Linked DNA regions of Rattus norvegicus. The protein of the gene in region 2 interacts with the protein of the main gene of each other region in a pairwise test. Links are inferred from orthologs where the notes say so. Each region holds a gene or a part of one and is shown on either strand. Other genes may lie near its edges. The genes, in order: Psmd3 and Zbtb43.

The links.
Region 1: the proteins of Zbtb43 (region 2) and Psmd3 interact in binary tests that used the Homo sapiens proteins (3 or more experiments, as listed by UniProt). The two-hybrid records come from large-scale screens. The link is inferred for Rattus norvegicus from reciprocal best matches to the Homo sapiens genes ZBTB43 and PSMD3.

What each region holds. Positions count from the first base shown.
Region 1 is NC_086028.1:84,138,454-84,142,892, reverse strand, and holds the start of Psmd3 (26S proteasome non-ATPase regulatory subunit 3), read right to left. Parts: upstream 2,956-4,439; 5' UTR 2,812-2,955; coding exon 2,604-2,811; intron 69-2,603; coding exon 1-68.
Region 2 is NC_086021.1:37,144,271-37,148,081, forward strand, and holds part of Zbtb43 (zinc finger and BTB domain-containing protein 43), read right to left. Parts: intron 2,776-3,811; coding exon 1,349-2,775; 3' UTR 1-1,348. UniProt on the Homo sapiens protein: May be involved in transcriptional regulation.

The DNA.
Region 1 (4,439 bases), on a different chromosome or scaffold from region 2:
CCTCAGCACGAACCGAGGCTCCTTGCCGGAAACAGCCTTCTCTAGCTGTCTCACATGCTCTTTGATGTCTGCAGAGGACCAGAGAGAAAAAGATGTTACCTGCAATTCCTCAGGTTTCTCCAGCACTCTGAGGAACATTTCCACAGAGTGTCTTACCAAGGGGTAGCTTGGGCATTTACTCCTCCCAGCCCAATAGGGCTAACCAATACTTAGGGATGCGGCACACCAATTTTCAGACATAACCAGCAAACAAGGAGAAAGCTGGCTGGGCAGGGGACAGGGTAGAGGATAGCAGAAAGGCCTAGAAAAGTTGAGAGGCAAAGTAGAAGAAACACGGGGAGAGTCACTAGAGCTTAAAACATGGACTTTGTAAATAATGGAGAAATCTCAGAGACAGACACACTGGAAATGTAACTACAAAAAAGACTTCTGAAAAGAAACGTGGAACAATATGACCAGATTCACATCTCATTTCACAAAGAATTGATGTAACTGGGTGAGAGAAATTACTGCTATAACTTCAAAACAAAAGTGGGCGTGCGCATAACCAGGGACAGCAAAGCGCTGAGAGACAGAAATGTACTTCAGTAGCATTCAAAGATCTGAAACGGAAACATTTTATACTAGTAAATTAGCAATATTTATTGCTAATAATAAACAGTAGGGAAAATAACCTTTATACTGTAGATCAGATTTTAGGACAACATAAAAGACTTTAGAACTGGGGCCTGCGGAGATGGCTCAGTGGTTAAGAGCACTAGCTGCTCTGTGCAGAGGTCCCACTCCCAGCACCCACATGGTGGCTCACACCTGTCCCTAACTACAGTTCCAGAGGATCAGATGACCTCTTCTGGCCTTTGTGGACACTACACACGTTTACAACCACGAAGCTAAAATACTCACACTCGTATACACACAAATTTAAATTTAGATGTGTTTACCCTTTTTGACTTAGGTATATAAATTCCTGGAAGCTACATTTAAGTAATTACAAAAGTAGATTAAAAACCTTGGAATAGTGATGACTCCAAAACTACTTAAAAAAAACTTTAAATGTGCAGCAATTAAGAGAATGCAATTAACTGACCGTCTCTTGGTTACATTTCCCACTTAACAATGGGTAATAGTAATTATTACAGTTACAGCGACTATGTGTGGAGGGCTCACCATGCATTTATACCATGTTCACAATAACCCAAGGAAACAGCGAATGCGATTAACTCACCTGCACAAGCAAGGTAACAGATTCTGGAGTTTAAAATCTCCATCACTATACTAAGTAGTCAACAAATGCCTCTTGAATAAATTGACCCCTATGTTTATGGACGTATTAAATGAAGACAAAAAAAAAGACAATATCTTTACATACTAATACCCTGATCCAAACTATGTACTTGAGTGATTTCAATTATGGAACAGTTTGAAAGTACACAGGGAAACATGTTAACCCTAGTCGAAATTTTCTCCCTGTTATTTTAAAATTCTCACCTGTTCCAAAATTTCTACAGTGAATACAAACCACGATGAAATGTTTACCACATGCACACACACTCAGGCGCTGCCGAGTGACATCTCTTGCCACTGGCAACTTTTATTTCAGGTACGAAGACCTTTACTGTATACAGACCTTGTTGCCAACTTTAGAATGGAGTTGATGCGGTCCATACCTACATCTTCAAAAGTACCACTCAGGGCATAACATGGCCTATCTCCATGTTTTAAAGTAGTTTCTCATGCAGTTGAAAGAAGGAGACAGACACAGAAAGGCAGACAGAGAGAGAAGAACGAGCTACAGAAGACCCCCTCACTCCCGACGTCTCACCGCACCCAATTCAAACATGGACAAGATATACCAAGTGGAAAAAGCAAAACAGCAACTTAAACGGGACAAGGGGACAATAGGAACCTGAGAATGGGCCTCTGGAAGAAAGAAGATGAGGATGGTGTTGGTTTATAGTAGTTGGGGTCACAGGTAAGCATTATAAACTAAAAAACAAAGGGGTGGGGAGGTTGATTCAGAAGTAAAAGTGTATATGTGCTTGAACTCTTTAGGAAAGGAGGGGTAAGAACTTTGAGAGAGAGAAAAGGTGCACCGGGACAGTTTAGATGCTTCAATTACAGAAGTAAGGAATACAAGGTAGAAATGGCTCTCCGAGGGAGTTTACTAAAGGAGGCTAGAGCTACAGAACCTTTTCTGTTTTTTTTAACTCTTAAGCTAAGGGGCCAATGTAATGTTACCCTGGCTTCTTTAGACACAAATACAGATGCTGATTTCTACATATCAATAACAGGCGCTAGAATCGGTCGGATGGAGTAGATCAGTGGGAAGGACTGAAGAAAAAACTCAGCGAAACTAAAATGCAACCCCAGATGAGGCGAGGGAGTGTGAGGAGAACAGTCCGCAGACTGGAGAACTGGTTCGGTCATGGGCTGGGGTCCAGAGAGTCAGTGTGGTTGAACGGGCACTTCTGACCCCAGCCCCACTGACCAAACACACGGAACCGAGGTAGGTGGAGGTTACGCAGAGGTCCCAGGGAGAAGTCGAATCACCGTGGCCGCTGTCACCAGTGATCGCGGCACGACCCCGACCTGGGATCCCGTACCTTCTAAGGTGACAGTGTCCAACTCTCGCTGGGAGTGCTCGGTCGCAGCTGCCTTGCCGTCTCCTTCCCCCGCGGAGCCGCTCCCAGCTGCTGCCTCCTCTTTCATCTCCACATCCTGGGGGGCCGGCGGCGGCGGTTCTTGTTCCCCTCCCGGCGGCGGCTTTGCCTTGTCGGCGCCTCGGCGCCGCGCCGAGCCCTCCTGCTTCATGGAGCCCGGGGTTGCGGCCTAGTCCGGGGACCGAAGCAGGGGCCTCGCGTAAACCCTCACACCAGAGACCAGGCACAGAGCCGGGCCTGCACACCAGCGCGGGCTCGCGTCGGGCCGCACGATGACCGAGCAGCTGCAAACTCCTTCCCGGCGCTGGGGCTTCTGGGAAATGCCAGGTAGGACAAGCAGATGGCCGAGTCCAGGAAGGGAAAAGAAATCAACAGCCGAGGTGCAAGATGAAGGCGGATCTTCTAGGAAGTGGGAGGAGTCTGCAGGAATCGATGAAGACGGATCTTCTAGGAAGTGGAAGGAGCCTACAGGAATTTGTGGGCCTTGAGAGTGGTGATTTTATCTTCCTCTCGAGTGCATATCTTCGAATGTCCGCGAGAGGTCCCTTTAGACTTCAAACTGGGTTACAACAGACGCTAAAACGTAAGTAGGTAGGACCTATCAGAGCGCAGATGAGGATGACGTCATGAGTTGCCGGGCGGTCTCCCCCCTGTCAAACTCTCCCAGTTTTCACGGGTCAGGTCCCCAATGAAATCCGCCAGGCTCGTGCTCTCAACGCCCGCCAGATGCTTCCAGCACCAGAAAGAAAAGTAGCCTGTGGAGGTGTAGTTAGGCTGTTGGGCTTACGATAAACTGAGCTCAACCCCTAGGGCATCCGAACTTCCTTGTCAAATTTTTTGGCTAGTTTTGAATTTAAGACATACCATCTCTGTAGCTTGGGAGTGTGGGGTAGTGTGTATTTGTGTAGAATTAGTCAAATGTAATAAGAGGAGTCCACGTTGTATACTGCTCAGGGCCAGTACATATAGGACTGTTGAAACACCCAACAGGCCCAGCGTGATGGTGCACACCTTTTATCCCAGCACTCAGGAAGCAGAGACAGGTGGGTTTCTGTGAGTTTGAGGCTCAACCTGGTTTACAGAGTGAGTTCCAGGACAAACAGGGATACACAGGGAAACTGTTTCTCGAAAAATCAAGCAAGCAAGCAAGCAAGCAAGCAAGCAAGCAAGCAAGCAAGCAAGCAGACAAACACCAGCTCAGGAATGTAATGGAGGGCCACACAACTTTAATCTCAGCACTAAGGAGGCAGATCTCTGAGTTCAAGGTCAGCCTGGTCTACCTAGCAAGTTCCAGGACAGACAGAACTACATAAAAAGACTCTGTCTCAAAAAAAAAAAAGTTGAGTGGTGAGATGACTAAAGGTTGGAGTAAAGGTGCTTGCTGCCAAGTATGAAGACACAAGTTTGATCCGTGGATCCCATAGTAGAAGGAGAGACCTGAGTCCCACATGGTTTTCTCTGACCTCACAAGCGTGCTAAAGTGTGTGTTCTCATTCTCCCTTCCCCATAACTGCTTTGTTTTGTTTTTTAAACATAAGCTTCTTTAAAAAAAAGGATTTATTTATTATATATAAGTACACTGTAGCTGTTTTCAGACACACCAGAAGAGGCTATCAGATCCCATTACAGATGGTTGTGGATGCTGGGATTTGAACTCAGGACCTCTGGAAGAGCAGTCAGTGCTCTTAACCACTGAGCCATCTCTCCAGCTCTTGTTTCATTTTTTTTTTTTTTTGTTCTTTTTTTTTTTTTTTGAGCTGGGGACCAAACCCAGGGCCT
Region 2 (3,811 bases):
TCCCGTTCCTGCTGTGGTTTCCTCCATGATGGTAGTGTGAGCTAATACAAACCCTTTCCTCCCTAAGTTGCTTTGCTCCGAGTGTATTATTCCAGTGATGGAAAGAGCACTAGACCCCTACCCAGCAAGAGCCTCAGAACTGTCACACGCTTAAAAGCTTTCTGAACACAAGCTTTCTTTCCAACCTAAGACGTCTGACCATGCAGAAAAGACCTCAAGGGCAGCCTCGTCCTTGCGGGAGTGAGGAGATGGTGGTGGTGAAGTGTGAGTGTGGGTGTGTGTGCGCCTGCACATGTGTGTATAAACTATTGGGACTTGTAAACGCGGCTTTCTCTGTGACTGGGGAACAGAGTCTCTAGATGATGTTGCTTAATGTAGGCTCCCATCCCCTTGGAAGCCATGTTCCAGCTCTCACAAAGCTGACAATACTGCCTAGCCCACCCTCTACAACAGCACTCCCCACGCCAGTGTTTTTAAGATTCTTTTCTCAAGCCTTCTGTTATAAGTGTCTTGCTCACAGGGAACTCTTAGCCACACATTCTGGCTTAGTCTCATGAGCTGTGGTCCCTGGCTGGCCTTGTTGGGAAGCACCGTGATCTAAGGCAGGGAGCCACAGGCCACTACTAGCCAGCACTGTCGTGTGTCACTGCAAACCGGTCATCTCCTGCCATTAACTGAGGGAAGCTTAGGACAACACACCAACTAGAAAGCTCTGTCTCTGGCACCTGAAGACTTAACCAAACACAAACATAAAACTGTGCCTTCTCCAGAGCCTGCAGCACGGTGACACTGTCTCCTGATTCGGACTCAGAAGCCCCGTCTAATGTCACCATGGCTTTAACTAGAACCTTTAGAACATACGAAAATAGAACAAACAGAGCTCTGCTCGTAGCTCAGCCCAGGAGTCCTCGCTGTAGCCTTGAGGGGAGCAGCATCCAGTGACGCAGCTACCAAAGCAAAGCCCAGAAGCCCTGAAGCTACCAGGAGAACAAATGTAACAAGACCCGGGACAATGGTGACAGCCGGCCGCTGCCACCTGGGCAGGACTGGTGTGAGAGTCTGCCATCCAGTCCCCTGCCTTAACCACTGCTGGCTGGAAGGGCTGTCTTGCCAGCTGGGCACTGGGTGAACTTATCCCCATCATCCATTCTAGGCCAGGATGGGAACATACAGATTTGAGAAATTAAATCTTTTAATTGGCCTACTTAGAGCTGGTCTTTCAGAAATATCTTCCTTTTTTTTTAAGCCTCTCTCATAATAGCAAGTGGCACGCATCATCTGTGCCCAGATTTGCATTAATTACCATAGTTTATTTTTGTGCATGCCACTCAAGGGCCAGACCCTATTTTTAGTTAGCCTCAGTCGTATTCTGCCCAGCCTTTGCAGCTTCATAGGACTTGGTACAAGAAGTCACATGCCTGTGGAAACTGTCCCTCCACATAAATCTCTTTGCACAGATATTACACTCGTAGGGCTTTATGCCGGTATGAATTTTCATGTGGCCCACGAGATGGTGCTTCATTTTGAATTTCTTACCACAGACACTGCAGCCATACGGGCGCAGACCGAGGTGCATGCTCATGTGTCGATCTCGCTGACTTTTGTGCGTGAAACTTTTCCCACACTGACAAGGATACAGCTTGTCGGTGGCTGAGAATCCTAAGTGGGACGCCTCTTCTTTTATCCCCATCACCATCTCAATGTTCTCACTGTAGCCTGCTGCAAGGGCAGTCTCCTGTTTGTGTCCAATTAGACCGCCCCCCAACTTTTCTCCAGAGAACTCCTCCATGGAGGAGCCGTAGAAGTCCACCTGCTCGTCGTAGTTACTGCCCTCTGCATGCTCGTCGAACTCTACTTCCACTTTCTTCTCCACAATCTGGAACTCCTCCTCCGCTCCCGAAGGCTGGGCCGAGTGATCTGTCTGCATGGTGTTGACGGACTCGGAGACCTGGTGCTCATCGTAGGCTGCGTGCACATCCATGCCATCCCAAGGCTGTTCCAGGCGCTCAGGCTTCACATGGATCCAGCGCCTGTGAGGCATGATGCTGGGCTTGCTATACAGAGGCCGGGTGTAGTGGAACTCTGTGCTGTCGTTGGTCCCCTCCTCCCCGTCCTGGCTGGCCATCTCGGTGCTCAGGCGGTCATGCTCCGTGGACGAGTTACTGGGCAGATACTCGTGCTCGGTGACCTGAGATGACAGCTCGTCTTTGGTGCTCTCCTCTTCGTTTTCGCCATCCCTCAGCTCCTGGGCTTTGGGGAAATCAGTGTGGCCCCCAGAGCCCAGCTCAAAGCTCTCGGCCAGGCCATTGTAGTTACTGCTGCTGGGGGACTGGTGGTCACTGCCATGGTTTAGCTTCTGACACAAGACTGTGGGGTTTCCCTCCAGAACCTCGGTGCACTTGTCCACCACATGCCACATCTGGAGGAAGCTGGCTGCTGTTAAGTAACTAACAATTTCTGGAGCAGGCATTACAAGGCGTCCTGTGTAACTAAATAAAAGAATGTTCTCAAACACTCTTGGGTTCATCACATCAGGCAAAACAATTCTCCTACTGTTTTTCAGGAGTACTTGGTCACAAAAGTAGGGTGAACTGGCAGCAAGAACGGCTTTGTGTGCCTGGAAAATGTGGCCTTGGACAACAATGGAGACGTCACATAACTGTCCTTGCTGGCGCTGCTGGTTTAGTTTCTGCAGAATGGTGCTGGAAAAATCTGGAAACTCTACTTGAAAAGAGTTTGTTCCAGGCTCCATTTCATCACCAATCTTGTTTAGTGCTGCAAGAGAAAGAAAAGTTAATACCAACTCCAGCCTCCCCCCAGTACTAAAAACACCAAAGCAAGTTCCCAAGTTCCAGCAAGTCCCTTTGCCTCTGAGCACTCATCCATGGGCGTCCATCCCCTGAGACTGTAGGAGCTGTAGGAGCTGAGGGTCCCAAAAGTAAGAGCCACCCCCTACCCACATAGCAACTCTCCATTTTACCCTGACTGTGGGCAAGGAGCCAGAATCTACTGAGGACGTATCTCCAAGCGTACAAGTCCTCTGAGCAAAGCAAACCATTTCTAACTAAAACAAGCACGAATCTTGTAACTCAACGTAACCCCTGGACTCCCACATTTACCAAAACTAGAGGAAGGAACAACAGGATTGTGGGAGGGTGGGGTGTGGCTGGGGGTAGAGTGTATGCTTAGCACGTACAGTTCTCTAAGCTCCACCCTCATGTATACTCCAAAAGAAAAGGAAAAAGAGAGAGAAGATCTGAATTGTAGGAAGACAGAAATGCCCATGCAAAGGTTCTTTGACAGGAATGAACTAGGTCACAGCCCCATAAGTATGGGACAAGTGCTTGGTTCCCCAGGGCCGGTAAAAGGGTGGGTATGGTAGCTAATGGCTGCAATCCCTAATGCTTCAGGGTGAAGACAGGAGGATTCCCTCACCCCAGCTCTTGGCTAACTAGTCTAGACAATCTAGTTAGCTCCAAGTTCAAAAAAAGAGCAGAGGACAGAAGGATGACTCCTGGCTTCCACATACAAGCTCGCACGTGTGCACATGTACAGACACAATAGGTGACCACTGGACTTGAGTCCGGGAAGAACTGAGGGAGATGGTGCTACAGTCAAGTCAGGAAAATGACAGATTTGCTCTTTTAGCACTAGGAAACGCTCACTGCGGCTGAGCGGCTGAGTCGCTCTTGGGATCATGTACGTTAGCTCCTTAAGGATTTCTGAGAAGACAAAGGCAGGTTTTCTATCTGGTTGTTTCTATGCTACAGAAAGACTTATTGACCTACTAGGAGTTGCTACTGTCCCTGGT